2 linked regions of the Stegostoma tigrinum genome follow. The protein of the gene in region 1 purifies or fractionates together with the protein of each later gene. This does not show direct contact. Links are inferred from orthologs where the notes say so. Each region holds a gene or a part of one and is shown on either strand. Other genes may lie near its edges. The genes, in order: claspin and timeless.

What was found.
Region 2: the proteins of claspin (region 1) and timeless purify together in Homo sapiens (affinity purification with western blotting; 4 studies listed by BioGRID). This does not show direct contact. The link is inferred for Stegostoma tigrinum from reciprocal best matches to the Homo sapiens genes CLSPN and TIMELESS.

Annotation. Positions count from the first base shown.
Region 1 is NC_081377.1:22,634,587-22,650,248, forward strand, and holds the start of claspin, read right to left. Parts: upstream 7,458-15,662; 5' UTR 7,262-7,457; coding exon 7,229-7,261; intron 3,889-7,228; coding exon 3,780-3,888; intron 2,748-3,779; coding exon 2,266-2,747; intron 2,095-2,265; coding exon 1,930-2,094; intron 1-1,929. Other genes in the region: ncdn (neurochondrin), read right to left, coding at 13,269-13,702, 14,404-14,546, 15,337-15,561.
Region 2 is NC_081404.1:19,198,745-19,215,386, forward strand, and holds the start of timeless (protein timeless homolog), read right to left. Parts: upstream 8,780-16,642; 5' UTR 8,635-8,779; intron 6,153-8,634; 5' UTR 6,131-6,152; coding exon 6,046-6,130; intron 3,182-6,045; coding exon 3,028-3,181; intron 1-3,027. UniProt on the Homo sapiens protein: Plays an important role in the control of DNA replication, maintenance of replication fork stability, maintenance of genome stability throughout normal DNA replication, DNA repair and in the regulation of the circadian clock.

The sequences.
Region 1 (15,662 bases):
GTGCGTTGTAGACTATGGACAGACTTTATGAAGTCAGGAGGAGAGTTACTCACCACAGTATTCCTAGCCTCTGACCTGCTCTTGTAGCTACTGGTTATGTGGCAAGTCCAGTTGAATTTTCTGGTCAATTTTAACCTCAGGATGTTGATAGTAAGGGATTCAGTGATGGTAACACCATTGAACATCAAGGGGCAGTAATTAGATTGTCTTTTAATGGAAATGGTCATTGCCTGGCATTTGTGTGGCGCAAATGTTACTCAACACTTGTCAGTCCAAACCTGGATACTGTCTAGATCTTCTTGCATTTGAAGATGGACTGATTCAGTATCTGAGGAGTAACGAACAGTGCTGAACATTGCACAATCATCGGCAAACAACCCCACTTCTAACCTCACGATGAGGGGGAAGGTCATTGATGAAGCAGCTGAAGATGGTTGGGCCTAGATTACTACCCCGAGGAACTAACCTGAAGCTGAGAAGACTGATCTCCAACAACCACAACCATCTTCCTGTGTGCCAGGAATGACTCCAACCAGTGGAGAATTTTCCCAAATGCCATTGATTCCAGTCTGGCTAGGGTTCCTTTTGCCATAATTGGTCAAACACACAATCTTGATTTCAAGGGCTGTCACTTGCAGTTGTTCTCTGGGATTCCGCTCCTTTGTCCATGTTTGGACCAAGGCTGTAACTCACAATTATACATGCATACCGGTCCTTGGAACATATTGCGTGGGTAATGACGAAATCAACAGAAGTAAAGCTTCAGTCTAGGTTCCAACATTTGATCTACACACACACACACACACACACACTTTTGGAGCAGATATGTAGCTCGGGTTGTGGATGTTGTGGTCGGTTGGCTCACCAAGCCGGTTCATTGTGCTGCAGACGTTTCATTACCCTGCTGATTTTACCCAGCAGGGTAATGAAACGTATGCAGAACAACAAACCAATTCGGCAAGTCAACCAACCACAAAAAAAAGTGTGATTTTTTAACATGAAATTTTCAGTTCAGATAGCGGTGTTGTTTAAATGACAAAAATAGTTGTCTATATAAGGACAGTTTGACAGTAATAATTTATATTTGGAGGCAGTCATTAACAAAATAAAATTTCCCAAGACACGTGACAGAACTATTGCAAAATAAATTATGACAATGAGCCACCAAAAAACTATTAATTCATGTAAAGATACAGGACATGACTGAAGGCTTGGACAACGTGGTAAATGCCTTGTAGTGTAATAAGGAGAAAAAGGACGTAGCAAGGCTGAGGGGGAATTCCAGAGGCTTGGATCAAGTCAATTGAGCTCATCAATTATGAAGCAATGAAAAGTGAGGCTCCACTTGAAATCAAGTTCAGAATAGGGCACTGATCTCAGTACTGTCGGGTCGAAGGAGATTACAAAGATAGCTTCATACCTATGAAGCGAATTTGAAACTCACGGATAAAAATTTTAATAATCAAGATATTGTTTCACTGACAGCCAGTCAAGACAGTGAGCATAGGGGTTTTCAGGCAATCTACGATGCAAATTGTACTGATATTAATGATGGAATGTTTGAATTTGACCAGTTGCAACTGTCACGGATTTGTTGACATTTTGTCATTGTACTAATTGCAACTTAAAACTGATGCTCAACATACAAACGTACATTCACAAAACCCCATTTCTGCCCAATGGTTAAATCTCTATTTGTGGAAATTTACAACCATCGTCCAGATTCTCATGGAGTTCCCCAGTCTGGTCTCCTCTCTCCCATTTTCACACAAGCCACTAGCTCTAAATTATTTATCAAGGGCAAGGGACTCTGTTTGCATCTGTTGTATTGTACCGAAAAACATTTGATCACTTTGTGAAACAAAACTTGCAAATGTAGTTCACTTTGTGGAACAAAACCCAATTTCACAAGTTTCAAATCGGACTCACTTTGGATTGTTTTGCTTTCTTCTTTACAGCTGCTCGTATGGCATCCAATGACAACTCTTCCTCTGCATCAAGTTCATTCACATCATCCACTTCTGTTTCAAACAAGTCACTGTTGTTTAGCAGGCAGCCACTGTCATCTGCTGTCTCGTATTCTGCAGACTCTTCCTGAACAGAGATTAAAGAAATGCATTAAAAAATTGAAGTGATTAATGTATTTACTATTTAATACCATCTTCAAAACACAGTTGCAAGTAAGATTGAAAGATCTCAAAAGGTCGAATGGTTTAACAGTTCAAGCTTAACCTCAGAAGGCACCCTGTTAACTATTTTCCACACCATTTTTTCTTGTTTCTTCTTCTTTCTCTGCAGTTTCTCAACTGCTTCCAGCTTTTTCAGTGCTTTCTCTCGCTGTCTCTGGGACTTGTCCTTTCGATTTACTCGTTCTTGGTGATGTTTTGAATGTTCAGATATTTCTAAGCTAACTGAAGAGCTATCTGAATCAGAATTTTCATGTCTGAGTTCTGTTGTGGGCTGTTCCTCATTTTCTCTACCAACACAACTGGATTTTATTATTCTCACTTGACCTTCACCGTTAATAATATCCAAGTCACTTTCATCACTATCCAACAATACTCTCCGAATACGTCGCAGCCTCTTGCTTTTATCTCCCGCATTGAAATTTCGCTCTTCATTTTCATTGTCAACATCTGGTTCTGAATTGCTGTTTCTGTGTAGATTGCTTGCCTCCCCATCACTATCACTCTCTTGCAAAGGTTTCCTTCTAATTTTCTTGCTGGTAAAAATTTCTTCTTCTGAATCTGAAGAAAGACAAAAAAAGAGCAAATTCACATTTTTCCCCCACTTTACACTACATATCAACTTTTTGGCCCACTTTACACATTATTTGTTAAACAGTTTGGATTCATCTCACATCCCGCCTTTCATGCTATTTCGCAGTCATCTGCAAACTTGGCAACAGTATGAGCACTTCCTTCCGTAAACTCATTAATGTATACTGTAAAGCAGCTGTGGACATGACTTCCCTTCCATAAAACCATGACCACTCTTGATTCGATTATGAAGTTTTCCAAATTTGCTGCAATTACTCCTTAATAATTGATTTCAACAATTTTCCAACAATAGATGTTAGACTAATTTGTTTTTAGTTATGTGCTTTTTGCCTCCCCACTTATTGAATAGGAGTGTCATATTGGCTGTTTTCTAACCCTCCAGTCCTTACCCAGAATCCAAGGAATTTTAGAAAATTAGAACCAAAGCATCCACTATCTATGCAAACTCTTAGGATCTTTGGATGCACGGCAACAGGGCCAGGGGACTTGTGCCTTCAGCCCTATTAGCTTGTCGAATACTACGTTGCTGGTGATGGTATTTAATTCTTCACCCGAATTCATGGGATGTTTGAAGTATCTTTTATAAAGACTGAGGCAAATTATTTGTTTAACTCTACAGCTATTTGCTTATTCTGCACAACTATTCCCCCAAATTCATTTCCTAAGGGGCCAAGAATCACTGACGTCTCCTTTTTATATACAAAAGAAACTCTTATTGTCAGTTTTTATGTTCCTTGCTACCTTACCCTGAAAGTTGATTTTCTCTCAATTTATTCTGTCTAGTTTTGATGGATCCCAAATTTATCCTAGTCTAATTTTAACGTAAAAGCAGATAACTTAGATCACTGAAGCATTAACATCTGAAATATTCACATTTGTCACACTTAGAGAAAATGTGTAACAAAGTACTCCACAGAACAAACAATGGATTTGATGATAGAGAATTAATAACTAATAACTTTGCAAGCTGAAACAAATTACACATGATAGAACACAAACCTCCACCATCATGGCACATGTCTTTGTTTGAACGTGGGGAGACCATTCCATAACTTCCCTTGCCACTGTCGTTATCACTGTCATTTGTTTTTTCTTCACCAAATGTTAACTGGAAATAAAGTACAAAATCAGAGCCTACTTTGGTCACAGCTCATTCGGTGAAAAATTAGAATACGACAGAAATGGATTACAAAGTGAGCACACAAAGAGAGAAAGTTAGACACAGAACGTGTAACAACCGTTGCATTCTTCTTTGAACACAATTTCAAGCAAAAAGACTTCCTCCACCTGAAGATGATCATAAACATTTGAAAAATACAAGGGAGTCTTCAAACAGATTAATCAAATAAATCTCACAGGACTTACATGTCAGAAACAACTTTCTTGGCGATACCAGTTCATGTCAAAGTTTACGCTCTACTTGAGCATCCTCCCACCCAACTTGATTTATTATTGCTAGCATAGCCTTTGATTTCTTTCTCCCTCATGTGGTTTTTCTTAGCATTCCCTTAAAATGCATATTTATTTGTTTTGACTGCTCAACGATGTAGCAAGTTTCACATTCCAAACACACTTTAGGTTAAGAAGTTTGCCGTAAATTTAAGAGATGATCAAGCACTTTGACCCTTTTGAATATCCAAAAACTGGAAAAACATATGCTGCACCCATCTTATCAAACCCCTTTATCATTTTACAGTACTTCATCACTCAGTCTTTCCTCAAAAAGTTCCAGATAATTGAGCCTTTGCTAGTTATAAACTCAACACCAGCATTATTGACATACATCTTTGCTACACCATCACCAATGCTCTGGTGTCCTTTTAACAAACTCATTCAAATACCTTGCTGAATATACAGGTGAAAAAAGTGTTTGAAGTGGGAGATAGTGGCAATGTCACTGAACCAGAATCCAGAAGCCTGGCTACTGAGTTAAAACCACACCAGGATAGGTTAGGAATTTAAATTCAACAAATGAAATCTAGAACTAAAGCTCCTCTCATGAACCTGTGGTTGTTTTCTGTAAAACCCCTCAGTTTACTAATATCCTTTTGGGCATTTTCTTGAGGAAGGAAATTTTTCACCCATATCTGGTACTGGCCGTGACAAAAATCCAGAGTGTCTTGGTAGATTCTAAATTCCCTTCTGAGATGGCCAAGCAAGCCAGGTGGTGGAACTAGGCAGGCAACAAACATTGGCCTTGACAATGAAACCCATGAAAGAATTAGGTATCAAGGTAAAACCTGGGTAAATCATACACTCTCTACTTTGATACTACATGAAATCAAAAGAATTAAAGACATGCAAGTATCTCTGAAAGTGAGCACAAACGTTTTCACTGCTTTCAACAACCTTCGCAGAAATTCTGATGTACTCGATATTAATTGGACACATTGAATTCACTGAGTTAGAAAGCACAGTCTGCTGACCTCTATGGCAGAATATTTCAGTGAAGCATTTCGTAATAATTTGATATCTATTGCTTACTTTTCTAAATCGCTCTTCTGGCTTTAGTTCATTTTACAAGCCAAATACTCGGAAATGCTATGTTAGAACTAAGTTGATTAATATTTTATTTGTATTCAATTACATCTTCATAGCATTTTACAGCAAAAGGGATTCCATTGCCAAACTAAGATTTGTGATGGTTTGTGCTTCTTATTTGTGGCAGCCATGACATGAATGAACTTGCTGATACATTTACAATTTGGTCATTTCGAACTGCTTATGTTGCAATAACGAACAGTTAAAGTTGATTTTGCACCAACATGCACAGATATAAACTTCATTTTCTACATTTCAGCAAGTAAATGATTCAGAATATGTACAGAACCAAATAACCTCAAGTTCATGAAATGTCTTTCGTTCTCTAGGTGCACCCATCACCGTCTAGCAAAGAGACAAATGAGGAAGCAGCTACAACACAGGATGGATTTCTAGAACATGGAACAAGTACCTCAAAAACTGAATAGCTGCTGAAATGTTAGTATCATACTGGATGTCAAGACACTGCTTTACCATTCAGTCCAATATTTCTCAGCTAACAAACAGCAAAGCACTTTAATGCTAGCATTGCTGATTTGAATTCAATGATTAATTGCTGTAAACACACTAGTGTGATAAAACTGATATTGATGATGCATCTGATACTTGTGTGGGAACTTACAATGCAAATACAATGCTATGTGTGTGTTTCCAAAGTTAAACAAAGCTTTTCATCCTGTTCGCAAAGAACTACATTGGGATTGCAAACAGAATTGCAGATGTTGTTTATACATTGGTTTCACTAAATACTTGATCCAAAATCCCTAAAGGCCACCAAAAATTCCAGCTCAAAATATTAAGTTAAACTAGACCCCAAATAAGTTTGCCTATCCTCTTACTCAATATTCACGTTACATTGGATCATTGCACGATTTAGCCTAAAAGCTAGCATATCATATTCCAGATTCCAATCTAGTGGACCGAAGCTGGAACCCTGAAGATCTGACTCTGAAGATCAAAGCCAAATTATATCAAGTGCTTGGGTTGCGTTTATTAGCCCAATGACAAGGAATGACCTGGTTTGATAATTAGCCACACACAGAACTACCAAACAGTTTGGATCATTTCACCTCTCACTGTTCTAAACGGAATACACTACGTGCTCATTTAACGAGAAAAATAATGTATGGAACTGCGTGACTGCCCAAAAAGTTAAAAACAAGTAAGCTTAATCCCTTCACAGCCACTACTATATTTCACCTTACTAAGCTTTTCCTTACGTCGCCTCACGACTGCAAAGCAGTCATAAAGGTATATGGCAGTCTTCCACAAGTTGCGAAAAGATGTACAAAACAATGAAACTTAAAACTGCAAATTCATAAAAGTTAATTGCTTAAAAGTTGTGCAACAGAAGAACTAGGTAAAAAAAGTGAGCAGCATAAGTAGCGCCTACAATTTTGGGCGGTGATTAAACAGGGGAGGGAAAATTTAAGGTAGAAAGTGAATGCATGCTGCACCCAAATTATCAATAGGAAACCGCCAACTACCAACTCCCATTGTAAGGATCGTCTTAGCGAACCTAAAACAACACCCGCCAAAAAATATAAATTCACAATCTACAACAGACAGCTGGAAAATAAGACAAATCTGCAATGATCGAGTACGAAAGACAGGCCGTCATTAAAATATGAAAGGCTTTTAATTATAGAAACTGACATATTTAAACCCAGAGAGATTAAAAAGAACAATCAGCTGACAAGTCTGAAAGTGCCAACAGTCACAACGCTGTTGTTTTATTTCAGAAGGCACAGGATGATTCGCCAGACAAAAATACCGAGAAGAGTGGACTGCGGGTACAATCCCCAGTAGGTCTCAGGAGCGGAGACCGACAGCAGAGGGGCCTCCCTTCCAGCCAGCGCGCCAAGCCGGGGCCGGCCCAGCAGACCCTCCCTCCATTTTGCTCCTACCTCCGTGCACGGCTGTAGTTCGGATACTGACATCGCGGAGTAATTAACGGAAAACAAAACACTCGAGGAAGAAAAGGCGTCAGGTCGAAAAGGGCCGTGTGACTTCAGCAGCTCCGAGCGTTCCAATTAAAATAACTTCATCACGACCTTTAAAACCAAACGGCTCCAGCCCGGGAAAGCTCTGCCTCCGACTAACAAACTCTCACGGTTTCGGCCTTCGCGCCCAGCCGCTCAGCGCATGCTCCATCAGCAGAGTGCCATCCCTCCACTCCCGATTGGTGACGGGCCCCGCACAATACTCCGCCCTCTCGCTCTGTATTGTTTCCGACTCTGGAGGCGAGCCGGCCCCTTCAGTGTCGAGGCGTATCGAAACCCCGCCCGCTCTTGTGATGTCACCAGACCCCGCCCGTTCCCACAAATGATTGACATGTCCAGGATGGAACCTGGCGCCCGTCATTGGTGCGTCTTTCTCCTCTTGTGCTGCAGCGGTAAATTTGAAATAGATTTGTTGATCGACTTGCAGGTAATTCTATTCCCACAAAACCGAAATAGCTTTGCTGTTGTAATGCTGTGACGGTGTCTACACCTCTAAGCCAAGAGGCCTAGGTTTAAATCCCACTTCATCCAGAGTTGAGCCAAGATATAGAGATTCTCGAACTCGCAACCATAATGTCAAAATTTGGGCTGGACCGTTCAAGAGACATGCAGCAAGCACCTACACAGCAGTTCAGAATTCTCTTCCACAAAGACTCAGAGAACACAAACAGACACTTCAGTCTAATACGTCCTTGCCGACCAGATATCCTAAATAAATCTAGTCCTATTTGCCAGCATTTGGACCATATCCCTCTAAATGCTGCCTAATTATTTACCCATCCAGGTGCCTTTTAAACATTGTACCAGTCTCCACCACTTCCTCTGGCATTTTGGTCGGCACTCACACCACCCTCTGTGTGAAAAGGTTATCCCGATCCCTTCTAACTCTTTCTCCTTTCATCTTAAACCTATGCCCTCTAGTTTTGGACTCCCCCATCCTGGAGAAAAGACATTGTCTATTTATCCTATCCATGCCCATCATGATTTTAGAAACGTTTATAAAGGCCAACACCCCTCTGCCTCTGATGGTCCAGAGAAAATAGTCCCACTCTCCTCAGCCTCAAACCCTCCAACCCCAAACTGTTTCAAATTTCACACCATCCTTCCAATGTAGGAAAACCAGAATTGCAAGCAGCATTCCAACAGTGGCGTAACCAATGTCCTGTGCAGTCACAACATGACCTCCCAACTCATATTCTCAAAGCACTGACCAATAAAGGCAAGTATACCAAACACCCTCTTCACTAACTTATCTATCTACGATTCCACTTTCAGGGACCTGTTAACCAGCACTCTAAGGTCCCTTTGTTCAGCAATACATCCCAGGATCTTACCCTTAAGTGTACACACCCTGCCCTGATTTGCCTTTCCAAAATGCACCACCTCACATTTATCTAAATTAAACTTCAGTAACTTTTGATCAAGCAAAAGTATTGAGGGATATAGGCCAAAGGCAGGTTTACTGGCTGATCTGTGGCCACAATCAGAACAGGCCGGAAGGGCTAAATGACCTCCAGTTTTTATACTCCTATCTCTGAACAGGTAGATTAGAAAACATGTAAAATCAGTGTCTTCCCCCTCACAAAGCACAATTATAGGCAGTTCCCCTGTAACACAATAATTGAGTTCTTGTGCACCCACGTGCTATAGGGAAATTACTACAGAAAAATCACTATAGTGTACATTAGAAAGTTTGCACATCCAAACAGCGTTACACTAATAGTGTAATAGAAACACATTGAAATAGTTACACCAACATTTAACAAATATCTTTGTAAAAATACAAGCACCAAGCTTTATCTGAAAACTAAAACTGGCAAGTAACGAAGTTACATAAGCTAAACCTGCACTAGACCACGTTCAGTACTTCAAACATTTCTCCATTTCTATGTGGTAACCGGAAACGAGGTCTCTTGTGATGTAGTAGTAGAATTTTTACTTTTGAGCCAGGAGGCACGTGTTCAAGTGCTATCTGCTGCAGAGGTGTGTCATGACAGATCAGACACAGATTGATTAAAATTATCTGTTAAAGTGGAAATGCTTTAAGGGCACAAAAAATTCACAAGTATAACACAGGAATTACATAGGTACACAATAAAGCAAACTGTCCCCCTCACTTTTTCTGGTACAGCAATAATATTATCAGTTCTGCTTCACCCTCTCTTTCAGGAGGCTGCAGGGCAGAGCATAACTACATAGGCCACAAATAGAAGACGGTCACCAAGAAATCCAATGGTGAATTCAGAACAGAAAAAAAGAAATCTTCGCAGCTGAAAAGCCATAAAAAAGAACCACTACCACAGTTGGTAGTGAAAGTGCATAGCACGGGTGAAGATAAGGGACAAAACAAGCACGTGAAGAAAACTGGGAGATAGTTCAAATAGAGATAATGGGAACTGCAGATGCTGGAGAATCCAAGATAACAAAGTGTGAAGCTGGATGAACACAGCAGGCCAAGCAGCATCTCAGGAGCACAAAAGCTGACATTTCGGGCCTAGACCCTTCATCAGAGAGGGGGATGGGGAGGGGGTTCTGAAATAAATAGGGAGGGGGAGGCGGACCGAAGATGGATAGAGGATGGATAGGTCAGTCCGGGGAGGACAGACAGATCAAGGAGGCGGGATGAGGTTAGTAGGTGGGAAATTGAGGTGCGGCTTGAGGTGGGAGGAGGGGATAGGTGAGAGGAAGAACAGGTTAGGGAGGCGGGGATGAGCTGGGCTAGTTTTGGGATGCAGTGGGGGGAGGGAGATTTTGAATCTTGTTAAGTCCACATTGATACCATTGGGATGCAGGGTTCCCAAGCGGAATATGAGTTGCTGTTCCTGCAACCTTCGGGTGGCATCATTGTGGCACTGCAGGAGGCCCAGGATGGACATGTCATCTAAAGAATGGGAGGGGGAGTTAAAATGGTTCATGACTAGGAGGTGCAGTTGTTTATTGCGAACCGAGCAGAGGTGTTCTGCAAAGCGGTCCCCAAGCCTCCGCTTGGTTTCCCCAATGTAGAGGTAGCCACAACGAGTACAGTGGATACAGTATACCACATTGGCAGATGTGCAGGTGAACATCTGCTTGATATGGAAAGTCATCTTGGGGCCTCGGATGGGGGTGAGGGAGGTGGTGTGGGGGCAAGTGTAGCACTTCCTGCGGTTGCAGGGGAAGGTGCCGAGTGAGTTGGAGGTCAGTGTGGAGCGGATAAGGGAGTCGCGGAGAGAGTGGTCTCTCCAGAAGGCAGACAAGGGTGGGGATGGAAAAATGTCTTGGGTGGTGGGCTCGGATTGTAGATGGCGGAAGTGTCGGAGGATGATGCATTGTATCCGGAGGTTGGTGGGGTGGTATGCGAGGATAATGGGGATTCTCTTTAGGCTGTTATTGCGGGGGCGAGGTGTGAGGGATGTGTTGCGGGAAATGTGGGAGACACGGTCGAGGGTGTTCTCGACAACTGCAGGGGGGATGTTGTGGTCCTTGAAGAACGCGGACATCTGGGATGTGCGGAAGTGGAATGCCTCATCCTGGGAGCAGATGCGGCGGAGGCAAAGGAATTGGGAATAGGGGATGGAACTTTTGCAGGAGGGTGGGTTGGAGGAGGTGTATTCTAGGTAGCTGTGGGAGTCAGTGGGCTTGAAATGGACATCAGTTTCTAGCTGGTTGCCTGAGATGGAGACAGAGAGGTCCAGGAAGGTGAGGGATGTGTTGGAGATGCAGGTGAACTTGGAGGTTGGGGTGGAAGGTGTTGGTGAAGTGGATGAACTGTTCGAGCTCCTCTTGGGAGCAAGAGGCGGCGCCGATACAGTTGTCAATGTAACAGAGGAAGAGGTGGGGTTCGGGGCCAGTGTAGGTGCGGAAGAGGGACTGTTCCACGTAACCTACAAAGAGGCAGGCATAGCTCGGGCCCATGCGGGTACCCATGGCCACCCCCTTTGTCTGTAGGAAGTGGGAGAAATCGGAAGAAGTTACTCATCCTCACCCTCAACAACGTCTCTTTTGATTCCTCCCACTTCCTACAAACCACCAAGCCACTGTGCCACTGCAGTGGATTATTTCAGACCACAACATGAGAAGCAGCACTGTGCCATTTGGTCCATCAACAGATTGTGGCTGATTTGATAAACCTCAACTCCACTTTCCTATCTTTTCCCTTTAACCCTTGATTCCCTCATTTAAAAAAAAACCATCTGCTTCTCTCAGCCAATTAACAGATTATAGATTTTATGCCAGCAATAATTTAATTTGTGAAAGCACAAAAATGTAGTAAAATAAGCTGTAACATGAGGAAATTACTTTCAGTTTTGTTTTTCTCGACAATGTTCTTCAACAGAAGCAGTGTACATGTTCTTTTACTGAACTTTACGTTCAACATTTAAATAATAGTTTCAGACTTATTTTCTGTTTAGATGAATTAGAAATGACATTTAGACAATTTAGATTGAAAATACTTTACTCAAGTCTTATAATAATGTAAAAGAAAAGACAGATCGACACATATATACTACCTAATCACATAAAAAGATTCCAAAATGTTTAAAATAAAGTTCATCAATGGAACACCAGAAATGGACCTAAAGGAATAACACCTTTGCCCCACTACAAACACAGAGTGAGGTCAAGTGTGGACGTCAGTGCAACAGAGTCATGACATATGTACACGAAAGACCCTTTAAAATTAAAAAAAAGGGCAAAAACCTACAAATATCATATCTGAGTTTCACTGCCACTGATTTCCAGACATCAATTTCCAAATTGAGCAAGCAAATGTTTCAAATCACATATCTAGCCATTTTTGCTCCTTCTGGAAACATTTTCTCAGTAGCCCAGGAAAGACATACAGCAACGGCATTTCTGCTGCAAACTGTAATATTGCTGCCCTTTACAAATCCATTTTTTCCACCACTGGATTGGACACTTTGTGCCATTGCAGACTGTTATGCAGGACAGTCAGTGCTCCAAGATGAAGTTGCAAAAGATAATGAAAGGCATAAGCATTAGTTCAAATCATTTTTGGGGGTCAGTGGATGGAAAGGATATCTTATCTATGCAGGGAAACAAAAAACAGATCTACCAGCTGTGAAACCGTTGCACAGAAAATGAGATGTCAAAATGGTACTTTAATGGATCCAATTCTAAATGAAGTTAAAGAGTCTTACTGCCAATTCCAATTTAAGCTTTTTTTAGATTTTTCTATTCTTGTCCAAATTCGTCTGATTTTCATTCAGTACGATGTAAAGGTGGTTAGATACTGAAATTCTGCCTTAGCTATGTGGCTTAAAACTGAAACTTGGAAGCCCATCTCCTCCCCACAGCATCAGCATATAATTTCTTTAAAGTACTGTATTCAAACTGACAATTTTGATCTGGATAAGTTCTACCACATCCTAGGATTTCTATGATGTGGTCTCTTTCCCATTAAGAACTGGATTAAAATTATATAAACTAATTTTATTTAGAACCAGCTGAGCTAAGACCGGAAGTGGACGTTTTCTTTTCAATAACTTGGATTATTAGTCAACGACGCAGCTGTACAATTAACCGATAAGCTATTTCTATGTGTAAAAATCATACATTACTTCTTGCATTTCTGATTTAGAACTGTCAAAACCCTTTTTTAAAAAATTGTACGATACTGATTATGAAATATCTTCTGGAAGTGGGCCGTATTTTAGCACTTCTCAACCAAAGTTGAAAATGCATGAGTGCAGCAGATAATGAGGGCAGGAGAGGTGCAGTTGCTGCACCTCCTAAATTAAAGCCAGTTTTTAAAAACAACTGGGCAGTCAAATTTAACCAGCTAATGACAAACGCTGCAACACCTAAAATTAAATAAAATGTTAATTATTTTTTAAAAATCTTCACCAGCATTTTGCCTGGAAATACAGCCATATGCCAAGCCTCTTCAAATCACTGCACTGGTGGCTTTCCTCGGCCAGTTTGCATCGAGGTTGGTTTGTCATTAATTTTGAGAAAGACAGTGCTCCAAAGCTGCCATTCCATACAGGTTGGCTTTATCCTCACCAATATTTAACATAATGTCTTTACATGGTTTGCTGTTCTTGGCCAGTTCTGTTAAAACACTCTGAAAGGCAGCAACGAGGTCAAACTCCACGGTCACAGGTGAACTCTTATTTAACAAAACAAAAATGTCTCTCAACCACTCTGATTCAATTACACTTTGTGGTAGCCATGGTAGCAAAGGTACACAACTAACAAAAGCCTGCATTCCCAGAAACCAAAGCTCTGAGATTTGATCCCAAGCTTCTTGGTATCTCTCAGTCACCACAATCTGTGTTTGGTCATCAATTCTGTTTAGCTGCGTTGTATGTGCTTTTGACAAAAAGTGAATTGCCCCTCGGAAAAAGCCCTTGGATACTGTAGTTCCCTGTAACACTGAAAAAAAAAATGCACAGTTACTCCCAAAAGACAAATCCAGGCTGGTTACAAATTCAACTTCAATGCAAAATTCAAGATTGACAAACTCTTGATCTCCAAAACTAAATAATATACATTTACCTGTCTCAGTTTCCTCCTCTTCTCTGATCCTTGGTATTTTTTCTGTCATTTTTAAACCGCTTGTAAATTCAGCCTAGGTTCCAAACTCTCACTTAATCCATCTCCTCCATGAAACCCATTTCCTTCACAACTGATTCTAGTTACACCATGTATTTTAAATCATTTGCCTTCCACTGTCGCACTATTACTCTAGCAAAGACCTTCCCTCCTGCCCTTGCACAAGGCCCACTGCTATCACCAGCACAATATGTAAATTTAGATCAACCTGGTTATTCTCTGCTCTAGCACTGCATTAGTAAAAGAGACACAATGCTTTAATGTTCTACAAGTTTCCCTTTTCTAAGTACTGTAAATAATGCCAGTTGTACATGATAGATATTTTTAAATCAATCTGTTCAGAGAGTTATGACATGTACAGTAGAGGTATGTCTTGAACCCAGACCTTATTGCCCAGAGGCAGCAACACTTCAACTGCATCACAAAAGCCCCTGGTTTTGCATTATATGTAGTGTTTGAGGCTGCTCGACAATGATGAGGTGGGGATTAGGGTGCTGAGTTAATGATTTCCTGTTCCATACCTGGTGTGTCAGCAAGTATGCGACTCATCATCAGCCCCAAAGCTGTGAAATTAGCAGCAAGAATCAGGTGAAGCTGGTTACAAAGCAAGGACTGCAAGGATTCCATTAACAAGCTAAGTAAAGATGAGAAACATTCTTCCTGCCTGCAATGACATTAAAAAAAAGACAAGTGTAAGAAATAATTTTAAGAAGTTGCAATAAAAGCCTTCAAAAAGAAAATCCGTTTGTCCACAAATATAACAGGTCAGACCAAAATTCACCGTGAAATCCATTCAATGACACAATTGTTTGAATTACCCTTTCAGATTCTTTAGTTGCAAGAAAAATCAATAAGTTAACAGCCTGTGATCAGCTGGGCAACTGTAAATGCGGACACTGAATATTACATACAGAAAAAGTGTCTGACGCTTGAGTGAGCTTCAAAATCATTAACTCTTGCCCTCTGGTACCTCAACAGATTGACTGAGGGAGTGGTCAAATCATACAGCCAAGGAACGACTAAGGATTGGTCCTTAATCTCAAGCTCCGACAGCAATAGGGATATTATAACTGACCAAATTGGAAACAGTAAGACAAAAAAATTGCAGTCCTAGTGTTGTTACTGCTATAATAACTTCTGCTGGAAATGCACAGGGGGTAAGATCAGGGTAACTCAATTACTAAGTAGTTATGGTAAAAGACCAGTAACATTATCATTCCACCATAGCAAAGAAGTTAACTCAACAAAATCTCTTCTGAGTAAGTACCAGACAAAAACAAACTGTTCATCATAAAGGCTGTCAGCTTCTGGCAGGAATCTGCTAGTCTTAACTGCTCGGACCTACACATGGATGCAGTCCAATACTAATAATTGCTTTTGAGAGGAATCCGGCCATCTCACTGATTCTCCATATTATACTGTGAACCTCATAACTGAGATAAGGTATTGTATACCTGATCAGTGCAGGCTCTGTTACCACAAGGTTTAGAAAAATTCCACAAGCTGTTCGAAGACTCATCTCTGCATTATCTGGCAAAACTGATGCATTTTTGGAAGAACTGAAGACTTCCCACTGTTGTGTGAAATAACGAAGAAGCAAAACATGAAATCCATCCGAAATTAAGATGGTCCTAGGTACATCCTCAGCTGAAAGGTGACAAAATCCAGGCAACAGAAATCTATAAGCAAATACATATAATTACCAAAACACTGAGTGCACACAAGTGATAAGAGACAAGTTGTTTCCTATAAATCCTAACCAACTAAGGAAGGTGTTTGT
Region 2 (16,642 bases), on another chromosome or scaffold:
ATAGATTTAATGGAACTTTCCCATTAATGAGACAGTTCTGTTGCAGCTCCAAGCTCTGGCCACCAGAGGGAATTCCTAGACTAAATGTTTCACAAACAATTTCCCCCCATTCACAGGTTTGAAAATTATGGTCAATGTGTTGTGGGGGTGGGGTTAGACGGAAAGCTAAAAGCAAGGGATCAGTCATTGCTGCCTCAGAGCTTGTACACTAAAAATTTCTACTCACAACCTTACTTCGGGTTTGACCCTCACTTTTGGAAGCCCTATCCTAGACATGCAAAGTCTTCCACACCTGTCTTAGTAATGGTCGACGTTTGATAAATTTATAGTGCCCCTAATGTTGTTTCAACATGTCCTACATTGACCCTCTCACCTCTTACCAGAATTAGGAGCTTTCGGAGCAGCCTTCATGATCAGCTCCTAGACTCAAATAAAAAAAGTGTAATGACTGCTCAGCCTAACAACCATCCCATCAGCAAACACCCCCATCTCAAAAACAAACCTTCCAACTTTGAAAGAAACTACAAGAATGGAAGATTCAAATATCAATGATGTCCATCATACGCCCTCCATCAGAGGGAGGCTTATGTGACGATGAGACGAGATGGTTCAGATGAGGCGATGGAGAGTTACAGATTAGCTAGGAAGGATTTAAAGAGAGAGTTAAGAAGAGCAAGGAGGGGACATGAGCAGACATTAGCAGGTAGAATAAAGGAGAACCCTAGGGTTTTCGATAGATACGTGAGGAATAAGAGGATGACTAGGGTAGGAATAGGGCCAGTCAAAGACAGAAGTGGGAAGTTGTGGGTGGACCCTGTGGAGATTGGAGAGGGGCTAAATGATTATTTCTCATGTTTTCACTGAGGAACAGGAGAATATTGTAGAGGAGATGACTGAGCTACGGGCTACTAGAATTGAAAGGATTAAGGTTAGTAAGGAGGAGGTGTTGTCAATTCTAGAAGGTGTAAAGGTAGATAAATCCTCTGGGCCAGATGGGATTTTTCCGAGGATTGTCTGGGAAGCTAGGGAGGTGGTGGCGGAGCCTTTGGCTTTGATCTTTAAGTCCTCATTGTCTACAGGTTTAGTACCAGAGGACTGGAGGATTACAAATGTTGTGCCCTTGTTCAAGAGGGGCAATAGGAATGACCCAGGTAATTATTGACCTGTGAGCCTTATGTCTGTTGTAGGAAAAATTTTGGAAAGGATTATAAGAGATAGGATTTATAATTGTCTAGCAAGCAACAATTTGATTGGAGATAGTCAGCATGGATTCGTCAAAGGCAGGTCGTGTCTCACAAACCTCATTGAGTTTTTTGAGAAGGTGACCAAGCATGTGGATGAGGGAAGGGCAGTTAACTTCAGTAAAACCTTTGATAAGGTTCCCCATGGTAGGCTATTGGAGAAAATACAGAGGCACAGGATTGTGGGAGATTTAGCACTTTGGATTAGAAATTGGCTTTCTGTAAGAAGGCAACGAGTGGCGGTTGATGGAAAATATTCAGCTGGGGTCCAGTTACCAGTGGTGGGCCTCAAGGATCTGTTTTGGGACCACTGCTGCTTGTCATTTTTATAAATGACTTGGACGCAGGCATAGGTGGATGGCTTAGTAAGTTTGCAGATGACACTAAAGTCGGTGGAGTGGTGGAGAGTGTGGCAGAATGTTGTAGGTTGCTGGGAGACTTGGATAAACTGCAGAATTGGGCCGAAAGGTGGCAAATGGAGTTTAATACGGATAAACGAGAGGTGATTCACTTTGGGAGGAATAACAGGAAGGCAGAATACGGGGTCAATGGAAAGATTCTTGGTAGTGTGGATGTGCAGAGGGATCTTGGTGTCCATGTACATAGATCCCTGGAAGTTGCCACCCAGGTTGATGGTGCTGTTAAGAAGGCTTACGGTGTGTTAGGATTTATTGGTAGAGTGATTGAGTTCTGGAGCCGTGATGTCATGCTGCAACTGTACAAAACGCTAGTGCGGCCCCACTTGGAATATTGCATGCAGTTCTGGTCGCCCCATTACAGGAAGGATGTGGAAGCATTGGAAAAGGTGCAGAGGAGATTTACCAGGATGTTGCCTGGTCTGGAGCGTAGGCCCTATGAAAAAAGGCTGAGGGACTTGGACCTGTTCTCATTGGAGAGAAGGAGGCTAAGAGGAGATTTAATCGAGACATACAAGACGATCAGAGGATTAGGTATGGTGGGAAGTGAGAGTCTTTTTCCGATGATGATGACTTCAGCTTGTACAAGGAGGCATAGCTACAAATTGAGGGGTGATAGATTTAAGACAGATGTCAGAGGCAGGTTCTTTATTCAGAGTGTGGCAAGGGCGCGGGATACCCTGCCTGACAATGTAGCTAACTCGGCCACATTAGGGGCATTTAAACAGTCCTTGGATAAGCATATGGATGATGATGGGATAGTGTGGGGGAGTGGCTTAGATTAGTCCACAGGTCGGCGCAACATCGAGGGCCGAAGGGCCTGCTCTGCGCTGTATTTTTCTATGTTCTATGGGAGAGCCACCTAATTGATTGAGTTCATATACAGTCAATCTTTGTTTGTTGCATGGGTTTGATTACAAAGCCAACCTTCTAACGCATGTCCCTCTCCCCCTACCACACTAAAGGATTGTTCACAAGCTAAACACCTGCTATTACAAGGCTAGATTTGAAACTGTATTAGCTCTTCCATCCCAGAAAGTATTTCATCACTCAACTCCCACCCACCTCCTTTTCACCTCAAGTTTCCTTTCCTTTAAGGAATCGTGTTTCCTTGGATTTCTCAAGTTCCACTTTGAAATATTCATCACAAGGAGCCAAAGAGAGTCCCTTTAGACAAGCCAAATGGATACTTAGTTATCTTATTTACTCGATTACCTCAAATCACCTGTTTTAAAATTTGGAGATGATTGATATTTCACTGCTGTGGTCTGAGACACTACGTAAATGCAGATAACACAGCCCTTTTCAATGCAAGGAGCACTCTGCAAAAATGCTCCATGTAGCAAAACACTTTCAAACTTGATTGATACCTGATAACTGCTTCATACAGCACCTTCTCCTGAGGATACTGTGTGATAATGGGCAGCAGGTCATTCTGTAGAATCTGTGCAGCTCCCAGTTGCTGCCGAATGTCTCTTGTCTCATCTTCGTGTCTTAAGTATCGGATTAGGTCTTTGACACTCTCTGAAAAACAAGAATGAATTGCAGTCAGCATGTGCCTTTATAAATCAAACGTCACTTTTAGCTGGCTCCACTTCTTTTCCTGAAGCTAGTGGCTTTTGCTTGAGCATGTACTCAAGGGGCCATTTTCAGGCACAAGCAGAGAGTAAGTTCTGGCTGAATACGCTACCACGAGGCTGTCACAACCAAACCTGATTCTGTTCCTGTCCAATAGCCACATGTGCACCTTCCAGAAATAATTCTTCAATTGCAAAACAACAAAAAAAATTGTCAAGCCATGGGGCAACAGCAGAACTAATGGGCAGATCTTTCAGAGTGCTGACACATGCACTAGGAGTCAAATGCCTCTTTCTGTGCCACAACATTCTATCAGAAGCAGCAGCAGCTCTGGTTGATTTCCTTCCCATGTCTCTAACATTCCAAAGCAAACAGTCAGCTGGAGTTGGTTTACTGAACAAATCATGAATCAAAACTGCAGATTTCTTGGTCTGTAAGGCCTTGAGCGGCACTGTTACAGACAGATTATGAGTTTCAAAACAAATCACTCTCCCTGTTCTCACCACCTGTCTACATGTGGAGGTTTGCAATAGATTATTATTTTTTGAGAACTTGGATTCCAAAGTAGGGGCAAATGGGTTTTTGGCTTTCAGTTCTGTGACTGTGACATTTAAAAAAAGGCTAATTTTTTTTCTAGCATTGGATCAAAACAGTGTTTTCAACAAATCATGTGACTTAAGCTAAATTACTTGACCAGCTACCTGGAGAGATAATTGCTGAAGTGTTTACAACATTGAGCTTTTATGACTTGCCAAAAAAAAGAGAGATCAGAGGCAAGAAGCAGAGTCAGCTCAGAGGAAACAAACTATATCAGATGTGCTCTTTCACAGCCTTAACGTAGTTAGAAAAAAAAACTTTAACTTAGCCGGTTTGTCTCAGGGAGAAATGAGGAGAATCACATCTGGTGAATGCCAAGTAAGTCGTCGAAAGGAAACATTTGTAACCGTGTCAATTGAGTACGAAAATAGTGAAGATAGTTGTGATACTTCACTGGGGTTGGATGCCTGGAATGGACAACACTGGGAAAAAGGGATTAATCTTTCTTTTATAGATAATAAAATGTGAGGCTGGATGAACACAGCAGGCCAAGCAGCATCTCAGGAGCACAAAAGCTGACGTTTCGGGCCTAGACCCTTCATCAGAGAGCTCTTTTTGCTGTTTATCATATCACGTGGAATGTCTTACACAATTTTGGTTTATTTTCTATTACTGTGAGTAACACACTATTTTGCACAATGAACCTATTCACTGGAGGTTGCCAGTGACTGACCACCATGGTAATCAAATTGCAAAAGTAAAATCTATGGCCTATCAAGTCAGGTTTTACTCTGGGATCTGACTTGTCCAGTATTACCATCACCTGGGATTGTAAGCGTAAACAGTCAATACAGTGTGGACCTGTAGGAACACAGCAGAGCATCAGAGGAGCAGGCAAGTCAATATTTTGTGTTTACACCAGCAACTGCAATTCTTGCTACCTCCTAGTAACAGTAAGCAGACTGCAATTTAAATTTTTCTCCTCTCTTGAAACAGTGGGGTGTATTTCCCCATTCACTCCGTGGGTAGACTATAACTTTGTAAGGAACACAACATTACTGTAGGAAAATTAAATCTAAGTAGGGCTTATTTCACATGATCTCAGATACAGAGAAATGATTTGCAACAGAAGCACAATTACAAACATACATGGAGAGACAGGATAGAAAAGGATCAAGAAATTGTTCAATTAGTAAAACTAAAATACAAAACAACCAAGGGATACAAGTGCCCTGGCTTTTAAGATGGAGTTCAGAAGTCTAAAACTGCAGTTGGCAGCCTGGACTTCCTTTCTAGAGGTGGTTTGATTGGCTAGACAGCAGTGGAAGAGTTATACATAGTGTTTTCTCTTTAAAAATCTCTTCAAAATTATTCGGAGATAATTTTGCTAAAAGGAAACGTCTATTCCGTTGTTTTGATGAATGTAACTTTTAGTTGCAGAAAGCAAGTGTGGATGACTGCTCTTTACAGTAAGAGAAAACTTAGCAAGATTGACAAGGCCATTTGCCATTGTTTCCAACGCCTTGGCAGATACTAGTTGGTCTGTCCAATTTAATTCCTTTTATTGACTGTGACTGAGTGCTGCAGACTGGCACATTCCAAGATGCAGGACTACGTGCTGAAGGATGCACTAAAGCTTGCAGTTTATATGCCTTATATCCTGTTTTTGTACAAAATACAGAAACAGAACCGGAAGTGGTACCAAACACCCCAACAATCTGAGGCATATGAATAACAAGTGGGACAGAACACCAAAGCTTCACCAAAGGCGCACTGATGATATTACCTAGCACAGTGACAAAAAGTTTGCAACCAAACCCACTGGTTCAGCGAGCATGTATACTTTTGCAATTAAGAAAAATTCCTTTTACCATATTGTATAGGAGCTAGCTACAGAGTGGCTTGCTCGGCACCATTCCAGAAGGCATTTAAGACTCAACCACATTGCTGTGAATCATATGTAGACTAGACCAGGTGTGAATGGCAGATTTTTCCCTAAAGGACATCGGTGAACAAATCAAAAATGATTTCATAGTTTTCATTGTCCTAGTTTGTTTGTTTAATTTCAGTCCTTTTAAAATTAATTGGCAGGATTTGAACTCTGGATTACTGGTCCAATGACAATACTACTGTGTCACCAGTTTCCCCCTAAGTTTATGGATGATGACTGCCAGAAAACCCTGTCAATTGTGAGATACAGCTTTCATATAGTTTTAAGAATCAGGTCTCAGGATTTAAAGCATGACTAAGAGTACAGGCTTGAAACAACTCACCTAAACAATCAGGCTCTTTGTGATAGTTGTCCACTTCCAGGTATCCCAAGGCACTGCATGTTGCTAATAGTTCACAGTTCATCATGTTCAGACGCACACAGTGCACTCTTCAAAAGCAGTCGAGACATAGGACAAACAAAGGAAGGGCGGGGGGGTGGGGGGGGGGGGTGGTGGTGTGGGTAAAAGAAGAGAGAGAGAGAGCGAGAAAAAAGGGTGTAATTGCTCCAGTTGTAAAACAGAGTGTGGAAGAATTATTTTGTCATCTGCTTAAAAGTACACTGCAAATGAAGTGATGTTATAAAAGGATGGAAGATACAAATCAAATAGATACATCGGTGCAAAAAAAGGACAAAAAGTTGTGCTACTCCCACACTCCTACCATTGCACATTTCAATGGTCATCAATCTATATGATAACTCCATTTCTGTTTAAAATACAACCACACTTGCCAAGTGCTGCTTGCATTTGCTGTCCAGTTTCAGGTAATAGCAGAAAATAGCAAAATGGTTGCTAAGAATTTCTGGTCTTAATCATGCTGCTGTGGAATATAGAAAAATACAGTGCCGCCACCACTGACATTACTAGAGACATGGCAAAACAGGATGCTGGACAAGTGACCCATCAGTTTCTTGAGACTAACAGGATTGGCAAAAGTTGCCTAGTGCATCCTTGAAAAGAGGGACTGGTAGACATCTTGAGGTCTTATGAACATACGAATGGGGAGTAGGCCATTTGGCCCTTCAAGCCTGCACTGCCATTCAACATGATCATGGTTGGTCTGATTTTGTCCTCAACTCCACCTTCCTGTCAAACATGCTAACTTTTAACTCCCTTGTTAGTCTTAATAGTATTCATAGACTCTGCCTCCACTACTGAGGAAGAGTACTTCAAAGACCCCAAAGGGTGGCTCAGTCCTTAGCATGGCTACCTCACATTGCCAGGGACACTGGTATAATTCCAACCTTCAGTGACTGAGTGAATGGAGTTTGCACATTCTCCCTGTGTCTGCATGAGGATGCTCTGGTTTCCTCCCACAGTCCAAAGTCATGCGGGTTAGTTGGAGTGGCTATATTAAATTACCCATAATGTCCAGGGATGTGTAGATAAGCCATGGAAAATGCAGAGTTACAGGAATAAGGTGGGATGCTCTCCAGAGAGTCAGTGTGGACTTGAAGAGCCTTGCTCCTACACTAAGGATTCCAAGGCTCTCAGCCCTCAGAGGAAAACAAATCTCATCTCTTCTTGTGGAGTTAAAAATACATTTCCCATCCCAAAGAAAAAGCAAGCCCAACCCCAGGAGGTCAGCAGGATGACTGGAGTTTCAATCTTTTCCATTCCACTTGTGATCAATTGGTAATACCTTTAATATTTTTTTTATTGTTATTGTACCTAAGGCCCACATTCCCCTGCCATTGATGCCAAATGTAACACTCCAAATTTCTAAAATTAGATCAGAAGAATTGTCATAAGCCACACAATACCAGGTTATAGTCCAACAGGTTTATGTAAAATTGCAAACTTTCGGAGCGCTCCTCCTTCGTCAGGTAAAGTGGAGGGAAGCACACAGTCAAAGAATTTATAGGCAGAGATCGTTGCAAGATAATTCTAGGTAATTAAAATTTGAACCTGGAACCATTTAGTGCAATACCAAGCAACACAATTATTTATTGGACCTTCAAGTAAATGTCTCATGAGCTAATTTAACAGAACATCCTCCCTCTCTCTATTATCCTCAACAGTCCTACTGTAGTTTGAGGACGATTGGCAGTGCAAACTGTATTGGGTAAGGCTTGAAAAGTTGTATTGTTGTCTACAGTAAAGTTAGGAAGTGCACAAGATTTAAAAGGGGAAAAAAGCAATTTTTTATGGAGAGTGTTACTGATGTGACAGCACCAGTGACAACACTTCCCATACAAAGCAGGGGAACCTATGACATCAAAGACCTACATTTTTGTGCATCTTGTAAATGGTTGTTGAGTCCGCTAAAAAATGTGGAGAAAGCAAGTCTTAATTTTCAATTATATGTGAAAGAGAGTTAGCAACATGGAGAAACATAAATATGGGGCAGAAGTGCTTGGAAGTTTCACTTAAACTGTAGAAGCATTTTCCAACGTAAATGACATCTTCCCCCAAACCCAGAGCCCTTCATTCATCGGAGTGTCAGAAAGAAATGTCAGCTGATTTCTACGGACACGCTGAGCTTTCCATAATTTAAGATTTCAATGGATTAGCGAGATTCAGGCTCGAAATTTGTTTTAAAGTCATGCAGCCATATAAAACACAAAATCGAGTAAAATGAGGTACTGCTTCAATAAGAAAAATATGGGACGGACGGAAGGGGGAGGGGGAAGGAATAGATGATGGTCAAGAGATCAAATTGGCTAAAAGAACTTCGGATCCAAAAAGGAATATTTGTGGATACGTTTACAACCCGACACCGACAAATCGCAATGGTGAATTTGCCGGTACAGGCACGATCAAGCAGAATGACCTCCGTCTGCTCCAAAATCATCCCGTTTTTGACTGAAAAGATTTAAATTGGGGGGAACCGAACGATTTGAAACGGAGGAATAAAAGAGACAAGCTCACCTTAGGTTTTGCAAGCCAATTTCCAAGTGCTTATGACTGAAATGCTTGAAATATTTCAACTCGATTGTCCTTCTAAAATCTGAACATTCCGCGCTCCAAGAATTCCCGCCAACCCCGGAACCGCCCAACTGGGAGGCGGCAGGGGGGTGAAGACCTGAGAAACAAACAAAAAGCAGAAATATGCAACCTGCGAACACACAAGAAAAAGTATTATTAGTATTTGTTCTTTAAAATATTATCCTTTCCTTGGTAAATTTTAGAGAGGGCTGCGTACTAAATGTAACAGATATGTGTCTTGATTCAGGCCACCCCTCTCGAGGCGCATTTAAAACAGTCCAGGCGGAGAACTGCAACGCTAAATTAACTTTGTGTCAGATATTCCGGATTTCCCCGAATAGGTGATCGTCAGAGAACGTTTTACTATACGCGATTTCAGAACAAAGCATATTAGAACAGTAGAATAACACTGTCTCGTCCGAATAACTGTGAGCCCACTCCAATCTTGTATTAAAACCCCTTTAAATTGCTTTAGTATGAGTCACGGTGGCCGAGTGGTTAAGGCGTTGGACTCGAAATCCAATGGGGTCTCCCCGCACAGGTTCGAATCCTGTTCGTGACGATATACTTTTCCCCCCCCCGGGAAAGGGAAATACAACCGCCAGGAATTTGACGTTCACGTTTTGCTTCTGGGAACGTTCACTTGTCACACAGCAGTCCCGACATACAGGCATACCAAAGTAGAAACTGCACATCTTGCACACTTTGTAAAATTCACTCAATAAAACCATGAAAGAAAACTGCTAAAAAGCTTATTACCTATTGCATTAAAAATCACAAGTTCTGTTCACGATGAATTAAATGATCTTTTGGTTACCCATTGAACAGAAGCCTTTAATTTTAAAAGTGTTTCAGCTTTTCTTCCATGAAAGATCCATTTCCTCGATTGTTAAGTGTTCAAATCGTTTTGTTTACATCATACTCCAGGTTGTCAGGAGGACAGCTCCTACACTTAGAGTGTGATGTCACCCCAAGAAACTTTGAAAAACATTCATGGAACTAATTGCCATAACAGGTAGAAGGATCACTGCACCTAACATTGTTTCATATTTTTCTACATTTCATGCAACAATGCACGAGAGGTCCATTTCATTCCACCAGCTTGGGTCAACATTAACCCACCACATGAACCAAACACAATTATATAACATTTCCATATCCTTTTCAACCTTTTTGCCTTCATACACCCATCAAGTCTAATCTGAAATACTGGCATTGTTTCTGCCTTAACCACTATCCTAATTCAACATGACTCTTCTTCAGAATAGTTCCAAAGAACAGTCATACCCAATTCAAAACTAACTTTTTCCTCCCACAGATGCTGGCAAACCTGCTGAGTCTGTTCAGAATTTTTTTTAAATTTCAGATTTCCAGTATCTGTGGTTTTTTGCTTTTATGACTGCAAATTAATTCCAGTCTCACAACTGTATGCACAAAAAGTTCCTCCTGCCCTTCATTTAAAATCTTTAAAAAAAATTCAATGGTATCAGTGAACATCCTAGGATTTTGAATGAAGTGGATGCAAAGAAAATGATTATATGGTTAGGATTTTCCAAACTATACTGGTTTCTAAAATGATTCTAGCAAATCAGAAGTTGGCAAAATGTAACTGCTCTTTGAGAAAGGCAAGAGAGAGATAGAGAGAGAAATACTGGCCAGTTATCCTGAAGTCAGTCATCAGTAAAACGCTGGAATCTATTGTTGAGGAAGTCTTAACACATTTAGAAAATTGTAGCATGACCAGTTGGATCAAAATTGTTTTATGAAAAAGAAGTCATATTTGAACATTTATTGAAGTCTTTTGAAGTTGTATGTTATAAAGGTACATAACAGAGAGTCAGAAGATAGAACATACTTGAATAAAGGTGCTGCAGAAAAAGTCAACATGCAAGATAAGAGCTCATGGAGATCAAGGTAATAGATTAGCATGAAGAGCATCAGTTGACAGACAGGAAGCAGAAAATAGGGATTAAACAGGGCATTTTCAAGTTGGCAGCTACATGTAGAATTAGTGGAATTCCGCAAATGTAATATCAGTGATGCAGCCTCAACTATTTACAATTTATATTAATGTCTTAGACAAAGAGACAAACTAATACGACTAAATTTTCTTACAGTAGAAAGCTAGGTCAGGAGGAGTGCGGTGAAGACACCAACACTGTGGAAAGATTAAGTAATTGGGCAACAAGGGTGGGGGGGGGGGGGGAAATAGATCAAGATTAATGTGGGGGTAAGTGTAATTTTGTTCACTTTAGTATTCAGTATAGAAGATGTTTTAAAAATAGGTGTGATTTTAAATGTTAATGTTCAGAGATAGGTGTGCATGTACAAACGAACACAAAATTAGTAGGCAGGTACAAGAATAAAAAGTCACTTTGCCACAATTGTATTGGGCTTTGGAGAGAACACATCTGGAGTACCTTATAATAGTTACAATGCAGGAGGCCAATCAGTATTGTCTGCACAGGCTCTCCACAGGAACACTTTACCTGGTATCACTCCCCAATCTTATCCCCATTGCTGAGCACATGGGGGTGACAGCGTTGTCCCATAAGAGGCTGAGTAAATTGGGCCTATGCTGTCTAGAGTTTAGAAGAATGAACGTCAATAGCACTGAAACAGAGAGATTCTGGAGAGACTTGAGAGTTGACACTGATTGTTTCTGTTGGTTGGGGAAAATGGGCTACACTCACAATATGAATTAATTGTTTAATCTGGGATGAGAAGACATTTCTTCTTTCAAAAGGTTGTGAATCAATGGAAGTGTCCATTGCAGAGCTCAATTGTTGGGTATATTCAAGCGGAAGTAGACAGATTTTGACCTCTCAGGCAACCTAATGATATGGAAAACTGACAGGAAATTAGTTGAGACAGGTGGTTCGTCAGGATCTTACTGACTAGTAAAGCGGGCTAAAGTGCCATTTGACCTATACCCCCTTTGACCTATACCCCCACTCCTATTTCTTACATTCTATGACACTCAGTATCTGATGTCCTATTTACCGCACAGTATTAACAACCCACCTGCTTCTATTTGCCTTGGCCTATTATTTTACATCTATTACATTGGAAGGGTGAAAAGTGCAACAATAATTTGAATTTATATAGCATTGTTAAAATAGTAAAAACAAAATGACTCACCAGGAGTGATGAAACAAAATTTGACACCGAGTCACATAGATTAGGTTCAGGCAACCAAAAACTTCAAAGTGCTAGGTTTTACAAAGTACCCTGGAGGAAGAGGAGGAGTAAACCTCAGCCCGAGAATGGCAACCCCTCTTGTATTTTACCCCAACTGCCCATTCTTTATGTATGAACGTACTGATGGTATGTCACCCGAAAAGAACATCACAATCAAATCCAATTTGGTCCTCACCAAACATCTGCACACATCAATGTTTGCTAGCAAAGGTGGGTAGCAATAAACATCAGGACAACTTTAGCTGATATTTACTCCATCTTTACCCAAAGATACTGAAGTCCGATGTAGCCACACAGCTCCCTAAATCTCAGTTGTGCGTTTAGCCACTGGGTCATTCCAGTATTCACCTTCTCACGTCAATAATTTGCATTTAATTATATTGGGGTGCAATGTAAATGTTCCAAGGTACTCCACAGGGACATGAGACAAAATTTAACCCGAGCCACCAAAGTCAGTATGAGGAACAAGTAACCATAAGCTTAAATCAAGAATGTAGCCTTTAAAGGAGCATCTTAAAAAGGGATGAATGAAAGAAAGCAAGACACAAGAGATTTGGGGAAGGAATTCCAAAACCTGCTCCGTCAGCTGCCTATGATGTGGATATTAAAATTGTGGATGCTGAAGAGTCCAAAATTGGACCAGAGCAAAGATCTTGAGATGGTTTTAGGGGCTGGAGAAGGTGACAGGGAAGGGTGTTGACAGGGAAGGGTGTAGGTGGCGGTGACATATAAGGAGGGATGGGGGAGATTACAGAGATAGGAGGTCGTAGGAGATAATAATAGTCATAGTCATAAAAGTTGTACAGCTTTAAATAGACCCTTCAGCCAAAGCTGTCCACACTGACAATACATTCAAATCTGACCTAGTCCCATTTGCCAGCATTTGGCCCATATCCCTCAACACTTTTTATTCATATACCTATCGAGATGCCTTTTAAATGTTGCAATTGTAATGACTTTCACCAGTTCCTCTGGCAGCTTGTTCCATACATGCTCCACCCCCTGTGTGAAGAAGTTACCCATTAGGTTCTTTTCAAATCTTTCCCCTCTCATCTTAAACCTATGCCCCTCTAGTTTTGGAATCCCCTACACCTGGGGGGAGAATGACATTGACTATTCACCCTATCCATGCCCCTCATCATTTTATAAACCCACTACCAGATTACCCCTCAGCCTCCTGCAATACAGGGAAAGAAGCCCCAGCTTATTTAATGTCTCCCTGTAACTCAAACCCTTCAGTCCTAGTTTCAGAAATAGGGAATTATAGGATGTTAGAGATGGAGTGTGTTTTGGGGGTGGGGGGTGGGGGGTGGGGAAGAGCAGGTGCTCACCATAAAAGTGATTCATGAACAAGGAGAATCTTTTGAAAAACAAAAAAAAATGTTGGGCAGTAAGCAGCGTGATGATAGACACACCGGATCAGTGAGAGTTAGGACGCAGGACTTTTCTGATGAAGTGTCACTGGACCCAAAACATTAACTCTGATTTCTTTCCACAGACGCTGCCAGACCTGCTGAGCTTTTCCAGCAATCTCAATTTGGTTTCTGATTTACAGCATCCACAGTTCTTTCAGTTTTTAATTTGGTATATGAAATCATCCTTCAGCTCCACTGAAGTTGCAATGAATGTGCAAACATTTCCCAGCTCCCCCTCCCCTTAAAGTCTTGTGGGCCAAAACTGGACTCTGAAATCAGACTTTGTCTTGTCTAAAGCAGGGACTTCCTCAAACATGTATTCAAATGTATTGATTCTGCACTACAGATTTCTATTTGTTTTGTTAGTGATTGGATAAATATCCAATATCTATTTCGGGTTCTAATTTGCATACAGACAGCAGCTATTTTGTTCAATTCCTACAGGTCGGTGCAGCTATCATCACATCCACTGATATTGTGTTTTGTACTGCCTAAGCTGAGCTTTAGTTCAGCATCATCTGTACAATTATCAACTTTGCATAAAATCTCTAACATTCAGCAGATGAACATCACAAGAATCTGACAAGACAAACAAACCAATCAGGTATGTAATTAACTGGCCAATGTTGCTCTGGTGGGCAAGTATAAATATTTAAAACTATGCACCAGAACATAGTGCAGAACGTAACTAGCCTCATGCTCAGCTGGAGTTGACTGTCCTGGCTGAGGGATGTGAACAAAGTAGAGAGGACAAACCGTACTGGAAGCCAGGTGGTGAGATAGGAAAATAAAGATCAGCACATATGCAGACAGTGCAAGACACTGCGCAAATTGGGGGAAAAAAGGACACAAAGACCAAATACATACTATGAGTTTTATTTCACAGATAATTTATGAAAAAAAAAGTGTTTTGTTCATCATTAATACCAAGTGCCACAGCTTTTCAAATACATCACAACTAATCAGCTACAGGAGTCAATTCTGGACTGCAAACATTCTCCAATCACAAAATAAACTTGTGTAGTGTAATCAGGTTCACTTTAAAAAGACACGCACAGTGAGACAATACACAGCTTTATAAAATTTAAAAAAAAAAGCACTGAATTGTTTTCTGGAGCAACATTTTAAAAAAACACTTCATATAAGTTTGCTTGTTTTACTGCAAGATAACAGTTTCTAAAATACTATTTGATTTTCTATGTATATTATCCAATAGATAATTATTCCAATTGGCTGCTGCAGGACAATAGTTCCGAGAGGATTAATGTAGTGACCAAATTCTGCTTTTCCATCTATCACATTGGAAGTTACTTTAAAAAGGTCCGAGAGGCTAGGTAGATGATTTCCATACCCCTCCTCCCCAATGTAACTAAGAAATTAAACTTCTGCTCTGAGCAGAGGTAGTCAGTCAATCTCAGACTGGACAGCAATTGAAGAGATTATAGTTGACCTCAGCATCCTCAGGTTATGGAGGGACAAAACACATTGGGGTACTACTGCTAACTGCTTTTAAAGCAATGACCATAACTGGAAAGTGTATCAAAAATCAAAAAGATCAAGCCTATCTGGAATGCCCTCAAAAGCCCCTCAATAAGATGTAGAATAGCAATTTGGGACCAGATGGCCACCAGCTCCTCCTTGACAGGGATATGCAGAGAGTGTGAGCAGGAGAGGAGGAAGGAGAGTAGAAAGGAGGGATAGAGTAGAAGAAAATTTCAAAACAAAAAGAGGGAGAAAGACATAGATTATCTCCCATGAGGATATTCTCAGGTAGCTTTGTTTAGTCCCAAAGACAAGGATGTAAAGCTGGAAATGGAAAGAGCTCCTTTATGATTAGGCAGATTACTTGGCACTCAAAATGAAAACAGACTTATTTGTAAGCTGTCATCACTACTATAGCTTTCGGCACATTACCAGGTGATTTAAAGACAAATCCTTTCTGACTGCATGAGGACAGATCTTAATCAAGGGCACACAATCATTTTTGTCACAGATCAATTTCAGGAAGGGAGGATGTACAGAAGATGTTTTTTAAAAAAAAAGCAGAACCAGACAATAATTCCAGAAACTATCTTTCTGCCCATGGCCACCCAGATGAGTACCTAGCCCAGCTGGAGGTTTCATTTTTGTAAGCAACATCAAGCCACGTTGAGATCCAAACTGAAACATCCAAAAAAAAAGGGGACTGTGTAACACATGTTGCAAACCAATTATTTTAAAAAAAACTTAAACTTGGAGAGGCAAGTCTTCAACACATTTTTGCAGTTAAATTACCAGTCGCTTGTAGAAAAATAACAGGTCATGAGGTCCCTCGATGTGCAGGGGGAATGTCACAGTCATGTCGTTTACTACAAACCTTGGTGCATAAATTTGTATTTTAAGCCCTGCAAGAGCATTTACGATGCAGGACATAATATCTGTACTGATTATTACCGGAAATCAGACGTAAAACTAGCTTTTAGCTTGCTGAATAACATTCAACACAGAATCCAGGTGGCACAAGGTTTAGACACTTCAGTGGATCCCATGGAGAGAGAGAGAAAAAAAAAGTGTGACACTTCCTTGGATGGACGTTATGACATTCCTGAGTCCAGCCCCAAATTGAATAGAAAGAGTATTCCTTCATGTTGTCTAAACACAAAGTCCTCTTTTAACCTCAAAAAACCCCAAAATAAATAATGTAATTATTAGCCTTCTGAAACAAACCTCAAGCAATATAATCCTAGATTTGTGCTCAAAAATGATATACATTCAAGAATATTGGACAAGCTTTCCCTACAGTTTGAAAGGCATAGGAACTGCACAAGGGACGATGATAAAGATTTGCTGGATCTGAACTCACCTTTTAAAAAAAAAAACAACTGCCCAGGACTGAATCAATCCCACAGACCCAGTTTCAAACCCTAACGAAAGGTTAAACCATGTTTCACACTTGCAAGGGTTTTTGTAAACTTCAAATTTTGAATACTGAGGGAGAGAATTTACCAATTTGTGGACAAAGCAAAAAAAATTCCCGAACAGCAAGATTTTAAATCGAAATATGTACAAACATAAACTCTAACTAGAATGTATAGATTAACAACATTCTCCCCCTTACCCCTCAAGTCAGGATTTGAAGCACCATATTCAAAACCTCTTGCCAGTGGCAATTGGTCTGATTATTCTTGGCTGCTTTGGGTCAAAGTATAATAATTTGCAGCTGGAGCAGGGACAGGAGGGAAGCATAGCTCCCATTTGAAGTCAGTTAAAATGTCCAGTATTAGGTAGTTACTAAAGTACTGATACCTACTTCAGTCAGTTCCACTGAAACAAAGCCAAGTGAATTACATTTCTTT